Linked DNA regions of Elephas maximus indicus. The protein of the gene in region 2 interacts with the protein of the main gene of each other region in a pairwise test. Links are inferred from orthologs where the notes say so. Each region holds a gene or a part of one and is shown on either strand. Other genes may lie near its edges.

Region 1 (6,968 bases), on a different chromosome or scaffold from region 2:
AAATGAAAACCCTACGGAGCGCAGTTCTACTCTGACATACGTGGGGTTGCCAAAAGTCAGAATCGACTCAATGGCTACTGGTACCCGGTGGTATTAATGCAACACCCCTCTGACGCCTCTGCATGGTGCCCTGTATATCAGGACCTTTCTACTCTGGCTCATAGAAACAAACTATTCCAAGCCCTGTGTGAGCTCCACAGACTGTTCTGCTTTTTACTTTCCAGTGGTTCTTGCCCAGGCCCTGAATAGTTTCCTCACATGCACATGCAAGGAGTCCTCAGTCAAAGACCCAAGGGGACCCCATGCAGATCTCCAGTCATCTCTGTGCAACTCTCTCCACTGGTACTTTGTCCAGCAAATTCTAGCCACCTTGGCTTCCCTGAACACTAAACTCTTGTGTGTTCAACTCAGCGAGACCACAGGGCTCTTCCTCCTTCCTGCTACTGTGGCCTGGAAATTCTCTTCAGGCAGCAAGCTAAAACAATCATAGGACTCACCTCCTTTATCTCCCTTCTCTCAAGGATCACTCTCCTGCACTGCGTGTTGTCCAGTGTTTGAAAAGCTTTGTTTCATACATTTTGTCCGGTTGTGTAGATATTTAAGGTTGGAAGATAAATCTGGCCCCTGTCACTCTACCATGACTAGAAGTGGAAGTCCCCAAAGGTAACTACTATTAACAGTTTGGAGTATTCCTTTTCAGATTTTTAATGTAGTTACATACAAACGTAGATCTTATTCATTGTATGAAAATGGGGATCACATTATAATTTTCTGCAAAATTCTTTTCTCATGTGGCTATATATCATAGATCTCATTCTGTTTAAGTACACATAAACATAATCTCACTCTTTAAGTGTACTGTACAAATGCATCACATTTTTAAATTATTTTACTGATGGGCATTTAAGTTTTTTCCTCCACTTTTTGGCTATCAAAAAACAGGACCTAATAAAAAACGACAACAATAAAACAGGACCTAATGAAGATACGAGGAGCCTGTGGCCTCAGTGGTTAAGTGCTCGGCTGTTAAGCAAAAGGTCAGCACTTCAAACCCACCGGCCACTCTGTAGGAGAAAGATGTGGTAGTCTGCTTCCGTAAAGATTACAGCCTTGGAAACCCTATGGAGCAGTTCTACTTTGTCCTAGAGAGTCACTCTAAGTTGGGATCAACCCCACTGCAACAGGTTTGGTTTTTGTAATGAAGATACTCGCCATGAGTCTGAATGGACTACATGACAACTAATAACAACAAAGACACTTTCACATATAACGTAGCCTATCTGCACTATCACTGTTTTAGGCTAAAGACCTGGAAATGGAATTGATTGCTCAAGAATAGGGTATGTGCATTCAAAATTCTGATGATGGTTGTTGTTAGCTGCACTGAATCTGAACCAACTCACGGCAACCACATGCAAGAAACACTGTTTAAATGCAAAAAGGGTGGATCAGTATAGACTCTCACCAAGTTTATAAAGGTACCTGTTTCACCGGACTTTGGACAACATAAGATGTTATCCGTTATTTGCTGTTTTGTTAACCTAAGACAAAAAAATGTTTTTGTTTTTTTGCATTTCTTTAATTAGTGAGGTGTGGCATATTTTCATTTGTTTATTAAACAATTACATTCCTAATTCTAAATTTTTCATTCTATTTTTCCATTGGGTTGCTCACTTTTTACCTTTATGATATACCTCGTTATCTGGTGCCACGGAGCCAGTTTTGACTCATGCCATCAACCCGTTCCCCGGGATTCGATTCCAACTCACAGTGATCCTACAGGACAGAGCAGAACTGCCCTATAGGGTTTCCAAGGCTGTAAATCTTTACATGCCACATCTTTCTCCCACAGAACGAGTGGCTGGTGAGTTTGAACCACTGACTTTTCAGTTAGCAGCTGAGGGCTTTAACCACTGCACCTCTGGGGCGCATTCTCTCTCTATAAGAGAATAGTAACTATTCACATTTTACAGATGAGGAAACAAATTTAGAGATGTTAAGTACGTCGCCCAAGGTCACATACAGCTTGTTAGTGACTATTTCGGGATACTGAAGCAAGTTCATCTCATTCCAAATACCAAGTTCCAAACCACTTTGCTATGCTGCATCTTATCAAATACTGCTGCTTTAATTTCTTTTCCAGTTCTCAGCAGACCTGACTTCCTTGCCTTTGCCATTAAAACACTCTAAAAGACTACTGCTGCGATTTCAGCCATTTGCCCCCAACTCCACCCCTCTCTTCTACACACTCAAGCTCTAGGGTTGCCATATTTAGCAAATAAAAATACAGGAAATGCCCAGTCAAATTTGAAGTCCAGATAAACAAAGAACGATACTAAAAAATTATTCGTTGTTAATCTCAATTCAAATTTAACTGAACGTCCGGTATTTTACCTGACAATCCTGCAAAGCTCAGATTTTACTGAGAGCTACAGACCTCAAAGTCCTGTTTTCCGGTAAGAAACAGACCCTAGTGGAAGCACTGGGTGGTGATATGACGCAGCCAAGGCTTCCTTAAATGAGGTAGCCAGTGCTCGTCTCCAACAAAGCTACTGACTCGGGTGCCTGTGACAGATGGAGACTCAATCCCCAAGACCACTCCCCACAACACGATCAGCAAAAAGACAAGAGGTTACAAGACCTTACCGGCAGAAGAAAGTCGCGGCCACAGCCCCCAGGAGCATGAGAGGGGAAAGAACAGGGAACTGACCTAAGGGATTGCGGGGCTGGAAACCACTCTGCAGGTAAATCAGGGCCCGAGGACACACCAAAGAGGAGACTGGAGAACGGCCCTCCAGGCCTAACTTCCCTCCCTCCCGTCCTCCTCAGGGTCCGTCGATGGGCCAAACTCAGCCAGCATGTCTACTCCCTTTCTTCCCCCGTGACAGCGCCGCCCGTGACATCCAGCCTCCGTGCTCCCCCTTTTCTTCTCCAATACCTTTGACCCGCGCGCTCTTGGTCTCGAATTTGGTTAGCATCCTCCCGACCTCCGGTTCCGAGGTCCTACTCCGAGGCCCGCCACTCCCTGCTGCCCTTTGGTTGCCTCCACGTCAGCGTCCCTCCGCAGTAGCCACCGGAAGCGCCTCAAGACACGAACTTCCGGTCTCTGGAGCTCTGGGCCACAGAGATGACGCCAGTGGTGGCCTAGAGAGGCCGCTACCAGACTGAAGGGGAACCGAGGCTTCCGCTCAACTGAGAGGCAAGATGGCTACGGCTGCGGGCGGCTGTGAGGTTGTACGGGGAAGTCAGGGTCTTCTTCACCTTCTGTCTTTCTGCGTCCTATTGGCAGGTGAGGCCTCCCATGCCCGTGAGCTTCGCTCTGTAAGAACCCTCCGGATCGGCCCAGCAGCTAGCGCCGCCGTCTCCCTTTCTGGTCCACTGCCCCTCTGTCCCCCCGCCCTCTAAATCCTTTTTCTCTTTCGTTCCCGCGACAGAAGTTCCCCCCTTTTCCTGGACCTGAAGGCCCTTCTCCCTTCGGCACATTGTGCCGCTCTCTTCCTACTTCCAGGCCTCTTCCTGGACTTCCTGCCCGGCTATCTCCCAGTTTGTCCGAATGCTGATTTTTTCGCACGGCCCCAGCCACCCTATCCACAATCAAAAGAGACAGGTGTCGGTGTTCAGCTTCCTTCCCAGAACGTTTTGACTTTTTAAGATGAAACCAGGCTCGTTTTGTGGGTTCAGGGCTTAGGAAGGTAGATTCCTCGTTTCTTCCTCTGTTGGTTTCACTGTAAACCCCTGGCCCTCTGCCTTGCCGCAGTTTCTTTCATCTGTAAAGTGAGACTTCTGATATGGGTATTCTTAACTGTTTAGACCCTGAAGTAATGATCCAAGGAACTTTATGAATTTGTGGTGTGCAAAAGTGTTTGCTTACTTGTATTTATTTTTTGATACATGATTTTCTACTTGTTGGAGCCTTAAAATGCAAATATGCCTGTATGTAACCATGACTGTGCCTTCCTCCAAATTCGTATTGTGTTTAAAGATCCCAAATGAGAAATTCTAGCTGCCCCCCACTCTGGGCACACACAAACCACCAATTGGCGCTTTTGGTGTAGTTGGTGAAGAGTTGATTAACTCTGACAGGTGTGTGTGTGGCATAAAGTGTCTCCCAACTCTGTTCCTGTTGAATATACCATGGCCTGCCAGAGGAACGAACAAATCAGCCTTGGAAGAAATGCAGCCAAAATGCTCCTTAGATTCGTAGATAGCAAGACTTCATCTTGTTTTCGACATGTCATCAGGAAAGACCAATTGCCAGTAAAGGGCAACATGTTTGGTAGAGAGTCAGTGAGAGCAAGGGGAACCCTCAATGAGATGGATCGACACAACAGCCTCAACAGTGTGCTCAAACATGTCAAAGATCACGGAGATGGCTCAGGACCAGGCATGGTTTTGTTCTTTTGTTCCACTGCACATAAGGTCACCATGAGTCAGCCAACTCGAAAGCGCCGAACACCAACAACAAGGTCTATTCAGGCTCTTGGAAAAGTATCTCAGAAAGTTTTTGTTTTTGTAATCTGTACCCCATTATTAACTAATTATTAATATACATACAGGACAGAAAAGTAGACATATGATCAACCACGCAGCCAGAAGCTGACACAGCTGAGGCCAAATGTGCCTTTTCTTTGACAAATCAAGTTTTCTCTCTTTTAGCTTCAGAATCAGCTTCTCTGTGTGGAAATTGTAATAACCCTCTGAAGCACTAGTTGAGTGCTTTGTAGAGCATGTATCTGCTTTAATAATGTGCCCAAAAAGTGAGAGGAATGGATATTCTTCCCATTTTAGAAAATGTGATATTGAGTGACTTAATGCAGTAAACTCATGACATAGCAGAGGCTAATATCAACGTCTCACAATTTCTTCTAACACTTTCTGTTTTCTCAGGTTTGTGCAGGGGAAATTCAGTGGAGAGGAAGATCTACATCCCCTTAAATAAAACAGCTCCCTGTGTCCGTCTGCTCAATGCCACTCATCAGATTGGCTGCCAGTGTGAGTTGGGGTTGGGATTTGTGTTTGTGGCCAATGATATTTTAGTCTGTGCCCTAGATATAAATTAAGATCCATATCCTGCTTGGGAGACTCGGCACTCAAATTAAACTGTGTGGGCAGGAAGTGATAGAGAACCATCTTGCAAACCAGGCAAGGTAATTAATGAGAGCTAACACTTAGTAAGTGCTACATACCCAGCTTTTTACATGAATGTCTTATTTGACCCTCATAACAACTCCATGAGGTAGGTCTTATTATTTTAAATAAAGATCATGAAAGCAAGGCTTAGAGAAGTTGAGTAACTTTCCTAAGGTCATGCTAATAATAAGTGATGAAGCCAGGATTTACACTGTAGTGGTCCAAGGTCAAGGAGTCCTGGTGATGCAGTGGTTAAAACGCTTGACTGCTAACTGAAAGGTCAGCAGCTCAAACTCACCAGCCGCTGCGCAGGAGCAAGATGTGGCAGCCTGCTTCTGTAAAAATTTACAGCCTTGGAAACCCTATGGGCAGTTCTACTCTGTCCTGTAGTTGGAATCAACTCAACAGCGGTGAGTTTGTTTTTGGGTCTGAGTTCTAAGCCAAGACTTAATCATCCTACTATACTGCCTTCTAAGTAGAAGTCTCATATCCTGTGGAGCCTAGTCATCCTCTGCCCTCTGAATGATCTTTTTGGAACCAAAATGGGCTTCTTAAAAACAGTGAACTGAGAAGAAGGCATTAAGAATGCCAAATAGTTGTCAGGAAGAATTAGTAAAACGTTCAGACTTGTCTTTATGCTTTGTGACTGTGTTCCAAAACCGTGGCAACATGGTTCTAAAAATTATAGACATCACAGAGGGAAAAAAAGGTGTGATGTGAAGGCCAAACCCCAGTTCCTCTGCTGCTTAACCTGCTGTCTTTAGATTTTGTTCTTTCACGGCCAGTGAGTGTAGTTTCACAGATAGGCAGGAAACTCAGGGCCCTATCTTGCTTCTTCATCATCAAAAAAATTGAATTTACACCTATAAAAATGGCTAGACTAGTCCTGCACAAAGCTGAAAATCAGAGTACCTTTTATAGGTGTTTATACAAACCCTGGGAAGTGTCTGTGTATACACTATACGCTATTTGTCCCATGTCCCTGTACAGAAAGTACTGGGACTGAATTGACTGGTTCCAAACCACCCCAAACAGAACTTCTGTTGGACTTAGTTCCTTAACTGCATTTGCAGGTGGAAAAGAGCCAGGTCCAGTATAGACTGAGATCAGACTGCTGGTCTTGCTAGAACCTCACTGTAAGTATCAGAGGCCAGGAGTCCATCCTCCTGGATCTGGGCTCTAAGAAATCCCCTCTGGGAACAGTAATGCACAGAAGTGTTTGCTTATATGTATTTGTTTTCGAAAATACAACTTTATAGTTGGTGGAAGCCTAAAATGCAAACATGCATTTCCTAGCGTGTTCTTGGAGCAACTCTGTGGGAAGAAAGCAATAGCCTTTAGAGAGAAAGCCAAGTTCCAGTACAGAGGAATGAAAGGGAAGGGCTGGACTCTGGCCATTCCCTCATTAAAGCCTTATTTCCTGTTTCAGCCTACTTATCTGTAAGTCTTACCTCATCATATCTGTCCATTCTGAATAGGCTACAGCTTCTTTAATTAGAGTTTTAAGCATGATAAAGCTAAAGAAAAATAGTTTGATTTTTTTGGTTATAATAGCCATTCTTTTAGGCTCTTTTCTTTAAGATGTTCAAAGTTCTCTATGTAGATTCTTTTTTTTTTATATCTCTCCTCACAGTATGAGATGACTAGAGAGTTGAAAAGCTTCTCCCCAGAGAAAGTAAGCAAGTTAGTTAAGATTATGTAGTCACTGATTGGAACCCAGAATAGAATACAGGTTTTTTTTCAGCGCAGCGTCATAGCTTGTTCTAGTTCTTTCTAGAGCTGAAGTTATATATTTTTTATTTGCTAGACTATCTTTTCCTTGTCCCACGTTTCAAATG
Region 2 (7,848 bases):
AGTACTTACTGATGAAGATCAAAGACCACAGGCTTTAGTATGGATTATATCTCAACATAAAGAAAACAAAAATCCTCACAACTGGACCAATAAACAACGCTATGATAAATGGAGAAAAAATTGAAGTCAAGGATTTCATTTTACTTGGATCCACAATCAATGCCCATGGAAGCAACAGTCAAGAAATCAAATGACATATTGCACTGGGCAAATCTCCTGCAAAAGATCTCTTTAAAGTGTTAAAAAGCAAAGATGTCACTTTAAGGACTAAGATGCACCCTGCCCCCAAACCAGGGTGTTTTCAAAAGTCTCATACACATGTGAAAACTGGACAATGAATAAAGAAGACCAAAGAACTGACACCTTTGAAATATGGTGCTGGTGAAGAATACTGAATATACTGTGGACTGCCAAAAGAACGAACAAATCTGTCTTGGAAGAAGTACAGCCAGAATGCTCTTTAGAAACAAGGATGGCAAGATTTCGTCTTATACACTTTGGACATGTGGGACCTGTCCCTGGAGAAGGACATCATGCTTAGTAGGGGGTCAGTAAAAAGAGAAAGATCCTCAATGAGATGGATTGACACAGCGGCTCCATCAATGGACTCAAGCATAACAAAGATGGTGAGGATGGCACAGGATAGGGCCATGTTTCATTCTGTTGTACACAGGGTGGCTATGAGTTGGAACCAACTAGACAGCACCTAAAAACAAGGCTCTTGAAAATCTATTTCCCAACTACCTTTTTTTTCTTAATTACCTTTTAAGACTTATCTCCCACAATGCCCTTGAATGAACTTTACACTAATCAAATTAACTACTCAATATTCCTGTTCCCTGAATATGCTGGGCCATTCATTTCTTCTACAACTTTATTAACTGTATTACTTCTACAAACAAAATCTGTCACAAAGTACCTGAGGTGCAAGGACAGACATCTCTACAGGGTATGGAGGGAAGTAGCCTATTGTATTTGGGGAGAGTGCTGAGCAGTTCGTTAGATAAGGATCCTGGTCTTGCTTATACTGTACCCTCGACTCTAAATGTCTCCCTCCATTTCCATCTTCCCAAAGCTGCACGCATTTAGGACTCAGCTTAATAAGACCTTTCTGATGACCTGAGCCAGAAGTATCCTTTCTTTTCCTATAGGATTTCAAGCATTCACAGTACATTTGTGTACATGTCTCTTGCTTACTACAGGAGGTACTCCTTGAGGACAGGGTCACTTCTTATATGTGTCTTTATCTCCATAAAAAAAAAAAAATTTTTTTTTTTTAATCTCCATAGCACCACATATATTTGGATATGAGGGGTTGACGATAGGTAGTATAACTCAAGTCTAGAAAGTCATGCTGCCTGTACTCAAACTCTAGTTCCACAACTCATTTTACATGTGCAAGAGTGGGCAAGTTTACTTAACCTCTCTCAGGTTCAACATATATATAACAAAAAGAGTTCTATTGTCTCCTGCTTAGTGTTATGTGAGTTAAATTCAAAGTCAAGCCCTTAGAACAGTGGCTAGTTTATAGTAAGCACTCAATATAACATTATAGCTCTATCTCACAACTGGCAAGTTTTACTGAAATACACAGCACATAATAAATGCTCTCTGGTAAATGAATGAATTTATACTTTTCAACTTATACAAAAAATTATAAATTCGTTAAATGAAAGGAGGTGATAATTCATTACAGAAATACATTTTCTTAATTAAAAGATTGCAAAAAAAAAAAAAAAAGGAATTAGGCAGATCCAAGGTCCTTTTCTGAAAATGTTACAGCAAGCATAGCAGAGCTCAAACCAGAGGCTGTAGTGATTTGAGTTCGTATAATTAAGAGATCTGAGGTCTCATTCAGGGCCTCTTAACCTGGAGATACAAGAAAGGCCACAGAGGAGGCTGGGGATGGGAAGTAGGTCTGTGTGTTGCTGTCGTTATGTGCCATCAAGTGAATTCCGCCCCTATATGACAGGGTTGGACTCGACAGCAATGGGTTTTTTTTTTTTTTTTTTTTTTTAATGACAGGGTAGAACTGCCCCATAGGGTTTCCTAGAGCGTGTACCCAATGCAATTCTATGTAAAGCTGTGTATGTTCTTCCATGCACCTTTCTGGGAGTACCCATCACTTTTATCAGTTTCTCCAAGAGATTAATGATCCATAAAAGATGACGAGAACTCCCGTTTTAGTACCAATTCCGCCGCAATTAGCTGTGCAAACTTACGGGATTTTTGTTTAATGCAAGATGAGGGACTTGGATTAATTAATCCTTAAGGTCTTCAGGCTTAAAATCATTGATCTTATGCTTTCTAACAAGTACAAAGACAGGAAAATGTTTAAATATAAAACACTGACTCTTACATTTTTCTGAAAAGACATTTGTCTTCCGGTATTTTAGGGCATTTTCTAGGGTGAGGGTGATAAAAAGAAAGTGTAGTTGTGACTGCCATTCTTACCAGCCACTATATTTGCAAATGCAGAAAAGCACACTAGCCAGTTTTATGAACTCCCCTCCCCAACTCTTTTCCCACCAGAAATTTAAGAGCTGGGATCCTAAAGCGCTTAAAATTCCCCTTTTGACTCCACATAACATTTTACTTTTTTTAGCTTCTCCGCTAAGTTAGCAGTCATCGTTTTAAGGGCAAAATGAAATAACTTTACCACACCTTCTTACGCAGTTCAACATTTTCTGCCTCTTAGAGTCCCTGGACTACGGACCTCACTGCAGAGCGAAGGGGCTCTGACAAGCACCAGGGAAGTCAAAGATCCCTCACTTACAGGCAGTGCCTCGAGAAACCACCTTGGATTCCTGGGCCCCACAGCCTTCTCAAACTTCTCAGGGCTCACGCCTGATCGAGACCTGGCAAGGCCGCACCAGGAGCCCAGGCCGCTGCTTACTGCGGGCCCCAGCCACGGAGTCCCAGGAGCCAGCTATACCCGGCGGGGCCCCGCTTCCAGTTGCGGGGCCTGGACCTACCATGGCTCGGTCCGTCCAGGTCCGAAGGCCCTCGCTTGCTACCGCCGACTCAGGCTCAGAAAGAACCACCGACCTGAGGACCCGCAGGCTGACTGACGTGGAACTTCCGGGAGGCGATTCTCGCGATAGTAGAAGGTGACGGCCCAAGCGCCTGCGCAAACTCGGCGCAGGTCCGTCGCTTTCCCAAGCCCCTCCCCTGTTTCTTAGGCAACGAGCCATTGTCAAAACTGTAGCGGTCCGACCTGGCGTCATTTCAGAGACGTGGCGTTGGCTCCACCGGGAGGGTAGTGTCCTGGGGCGGCTGAACAAGGCCTAGAACCGGAAAAATGAGAGATTAGAATCGGAAAACTGAGAGAGAAAAAGGATGAGAAAAGCGAAGTGCTGAATCTCCGCTGGTCGCTAACAGCAGGAGAAGCTTCCCCTATAGTAGAGTGGTGTCATTAAGAAGAGGAAAGGGAGAGAGAGGAGGCGAAGCATAGCTCCAAAACCAATGTACTCCTGGCGGACAAGAGGAAGAGACCGAGAGCGTTCTCTCCAGGCCATGGGCCTGGCACTGGTTGAGGCTGAGAAAATATGAGCCGTACTCCAGACTGAGCATCAGGCCTCCGAGGGCGGAGGGAGGCGAAAGAGTCTTCAGTTCAGTAGCTCACTAGGAGTTTGGAACGCTAAGTCATGTATGATCACCGTTTATTGAGTATCGGTTGTGTTTTTCATTTATTCATCAAATATTTGAGTATTGGGCTGTGTGCCAAACATACTTTCCTCTCAAATCCTCACATCAAACCCGAATTGTATCCGTCTTGCTGATGAGGAAACAGGTTCAAAGAAGTGTCCTGGCCGAAGCCATAGGTAGTAAGTGTTGAGTGAGCAAGTAAACTGAGGCACTTGACTGAAGTAAAATGGCTGCTTTAGAGTTTGGAGCCCTACTCCATCTTGCCTTTCTTTTAATATATACAAATTATTTCAGGGGCGTTATCAAGACCCTTTCTGAAACAATGTCTCAAGAAGAAGACTTTGTTGCTGACTCTTATCTAGGTCTCCTAGGTAACTGCTGACAAGAAAAATTTCACTTGAGCAAGCTGTTTCTAAGAGAAATGTGCTGTAACTTTACCCCTCCTAGCCCAGCTTCCAGTAACCTGCCTTATATTAATCTAAGTTAGTAATGTCCTGAGACAGAACCCCTAAAGTGTTGTATTCTTTACCTGGCTTCTTCCCTTACAGTGTTGTATTGCAAAATCATTTACTTTACTGGGCCCCATCCCCCGCCCCCCCCCCCCCCCCAGTACTGCAGCTTTGCATTCGAATCCTCCTTTTGCTTGGAGGTTATATGTAAACCCTGTTGCATCTGCATAGTATGGTTAAGAATGTTGCTGACATAACTTGTATGAACTCCTTACTTGTAAACCCCTTTAAAAGTAGGTTGCTTACTAGTCCTTGGGGAGCAGTCTTGGCAGCAGTAGCTCCAACTGCTCCACTTCCCTGTACAAGGAAATATAAAGGTGCCTTTCTTGTTCTCCCACCTTGGTCTCTCATTTATTGGTAAATATGAATCATGCCAAGTAAGAACCTGGGGTTTCTACCCAGTAACATTTCTAGCGAGCCAGCCAGGAGCCATCTGCTTGGTTCCCAGGGTGGACTGGAAAACAGAACAGCCCAAATGTCTGGTGCCACTAGGTGATTTCTAGAGACCTTGGAGCAGCTCTGAAAGCTGATCCCCCCACCTGGGACCGTAAGCATGGCTTTGAGAGAGACATGAAACACACCTGGGTTGTTTGGTAAGTGCCTAGGTAAGGCCTTAGAAGAGTCTCAAGAGGCAGGAGAAATTGACTGCTGGGGGCATAAAAGGCTCACATACCTGTTAAATTGCTGTACCGGATTAGGTTGTATAAGTGTGTGTATCTAGAAAATGGAGAACGTTCAAGGGATCCCAAAACTCGGCCCACCAAGGTGCATCCCTAAGAACTGGGAACAGAGACTCGGACAGACATGACTCTGGCAGCATGCTTGTCCTTTTCCTACTCTTGCCTTTTTAAATATATGCTCAATAAAACCTTTCTTTTTGCTTTACTAAACCTTGTGGTGTTTTCACCCTGCAAGAGTTAGTTGCTGCGGGGATTCTAAATCCAGGAATCCAGTCGACCTCAAGGAGACCTGGACTGCAGAGCAGAAGCTGGCAAAGAGAGAGGTCCTGCCTTCTGGACCCAAGCATTCACACTTCACATCACTTTGACATCAACAGGGTGAGTGCTCTTGGAAAATGAGCCTTTGCTTATTCTTTTTGTTCTTTTTCTCATATTTTCTTAAGTTTTGTTCAGTATATTTGTTTGAAAAACTGGTTGTTTAAGGAGAGTCTTCCTTAGATTTTTGCTTGATTGTTTGTTTAAGAGTGATATCTAGTAACTCTTGGTGAACTACAGTTTAGGTCCAGATTCAGGTGTTTGAAACATCAAAGAGGTAATTCTATTTTCAAAAGAGCTCTGAACCACTATAAGCCAAAAAATTTGGGCACAGGTAAAAGCCGTTGAGGTGATTGTTGGTACTCATCATGAGTGTTAAAGACTCCCCTGACAGGATAAGGTGGTTGAGAGACAGGCTAGAGCACTAGGCTACCTGCCACCCACAAGCAAACACACAACAAAGGTACACATTGGTCTAAGTGAAACACTGTCCAAACCCTGTGGTGTTCCTCATTAGGTTTCTTTTTATGGCTCAGAGAAAACCTGGAAAATAGTGCTTTTGTTTTGCCAGATTTGCAGGGAGAAGTGGTAGCTCCATACCTGTTTTATGATAGAGTTTCTCAGTAAAGAATCACAATAATATTCCTGATCTGATGCTCTGGCATGTTAATGTTTTATCTAAAACCTGTTATTTCTGTTGAATTGAGTCAATCTTACCAAAAACTGCTATATACACTTTAAGAAACCTTGTTTTATGTGGTATTGTTTGGAGAGTTTATGTGGTCTTTCTGTCTCCTTTTTTTCTGAAAGCTTGCTTCTGATCTAGAGCATTGTGTCTAAGTTTTTGTCTTGTATCAGGTTGGAGGCTATGGCTGAGAATTGCTGTTTTTTTGTAAGGCTGTCTTAGAACCTCAGTTCTTTCCTCATCGAGAAAAACTGTGTCTTGTGTTTGTCTTATAATTTATATTTTTAGTACCTATATTGAAAAACTTTAGGTTTAAGTCAATCATAAAAACAAATCCTTTCTAAATAACTTAAGCTAGGCATCATATGAAATGTGTTTTATTTAAAGAAAAAGGATAATTTTGTCTTAAAGTAAAACTAACAGTTCCAGAGTATGAAAAAGGAGGGAAGTCTAGAAAAAAAAATTCCTAAAGGGCTTTGGTATTTACTGGGTACGTAGAAGGCTGTGATAAAACAAAACTACTTTCCAAGAGAATAATAAAAGGGAAAGAAATTAGTTATCCTTTGCCTTTCAAAATGCCTAGATCAATTTAAACATATGTAAATGAATTAGGATGACCCCCTCTCAGCCTCCAGTCTCACTAGCCAAGAATTGACGGATTCATTTACAAAATTGCTAAAAAGTTTTGGTATTTACTGGGTACATAGCCTTTCAAAATGCCTCAATCAATTTAAACATATATAAATGAACCAAATGGCCTAATTTTGTCTTCTACCATGAGTCAAAAAATAGAGAGGGTAGGACAACATCAGGGTTCCCCAGCCTCCAGTCTCCAAAGTCATGTAGAAGTCAGAATGAGACACACTTGAAATGGCCTGGGATATAACCTAGCCAGACATTTAAGGTTATATCCGCATCAGTAAATTGGTCAGTTGATCAGAGACTTCTGAAGCCAGTTGATAAAATCTTTAAGGGCAAACATTAGATTGGGAAAATATGGGAAATAGTAAAAGTTGAATGAAAACTTAGAATGTTTAAACAGACTTTCTTTCAAGAACAGATGTGTTTTATGGTATAAAAAAATACAGGCTTAAAATAATTTCTAAGGCCTTTTAGGTAATTTATTGATGTTAAATTGAGTTAATAGATATTTGTTGTAATTTAAGCTTTTTATGCCACAAGAGGAAGGATATATGTGTATATTTGGATCGGCTGATGAGTGAGTTCATTGTTGCCATTTAAAGGGATGCACTATAAAAGGTATGCAACAAAGACAACATTTAAGAGGTTTATTAAAAAGAAATTGGTATGGTCAAAAGATTTATCTGTCTGACTAAAGTCTCATGGTTTGATTTATGATATTTTTAGGCGCTTTAACATTAAATAAAATATAAAACAAAGTATTGGGTTTCTAGCTATTAAATAACAAAATTTTCTTTGATTTCTGAGTTAAAGGGTTAGTTTATTCTTTCTCTGATCTGCTTCAAAAGCAGAAGGTTGGCCTCTCATTAGATTAAGATTCCTGAGCTGAAAACTAAGCCACGTGGCTTTTGGGGGGGAGGGGGGAAAGCAGCCTACTTTAAGATCTTTAGTTAAATAACTTAAGTATTATTTCACGGTGACCTATAATAAACTCCTGACAACCCTGAAACTTCATGGAAAGTCGCAAAAATTTTTTATGACAATGTCATTTCTGGAACCTGAAGTGTCAAATGAAGAGATAAAGAACTCAGCCAATCACCGAATAGAATAAGAAACTGACAGAGGACAGAGAGCGAGCAGAGATACCTGCAGATGGCCCCATCAGCTAACGCAGCACTGACCTGCCAGCTTGGACATCTGTCAGGGATTGGGAGAAATGGAGCATGCGAAAGCAGCTTTGAGGATCTCCCAGCCGGAGACAGGACACTCAGCAACCAGCGATACCTGCTTTTCCAACCCCCATTGTGTCCCCACTCTCTACCACCGAGCTTCTTGGCTGGCTGCGGTGGCTTGGCCAGCCAGGAAGGGC

Evidence for each region.
Region 1: the proteins of COPB2 (region 2) and COPA interact in a two-hybrid assay, tested with the Homo sapiens proteins (2 studies listed by BioGRID, with this or other methods). The link is inferred for Elephas maximus indicus from reciprocal best matches to the Homo sapiens genes COPB2 and COPA.

Annotation. Positions count from the first base shown.
Region 1 is NC_064821.1:199,026,451-199,033,418, forward strand, and holds the start of COPA (coatomer subunit alpha), read right to left. Parts: upstream 3,109-6,968; 5' UTR 2,979-3,108; coding exon 2,939-2,978; intron 1-2,938. Other genes in the region: NCSTN (nicastrin), read left to right, coding at 3,205-3,289, 4,888-4,992. UniProt on the Homo sapiens protein: The coatomer is a cytosolic protein complex that binds to dilysine motifs and reversibly associates with Golgi non-clathrin-coated vesicles, which further mediate biosynthetic protein transport from the ER, via the Golgi up to the trans Golgi network.
Region 2 is NC_064844.1:37,620,010-37,627,857, reverse strand, and holds the start of COPB2 (coatomer subunit beta'), read right to left. Parts: upstream 3,095-7,848; 5' UTR 2,979-3,094; coding exon 2,976-2,978; intron 1-2,975. UniProt on the Homo sapiens protein: The coatomer is a cytosolic protein complex that binds to dilysine motifs and reversibly associates with Golgi non-clathrin-coated vesicles, which further mediate biosynthetic protein transport from the ER, via the Golgi up to the trans Golgi network.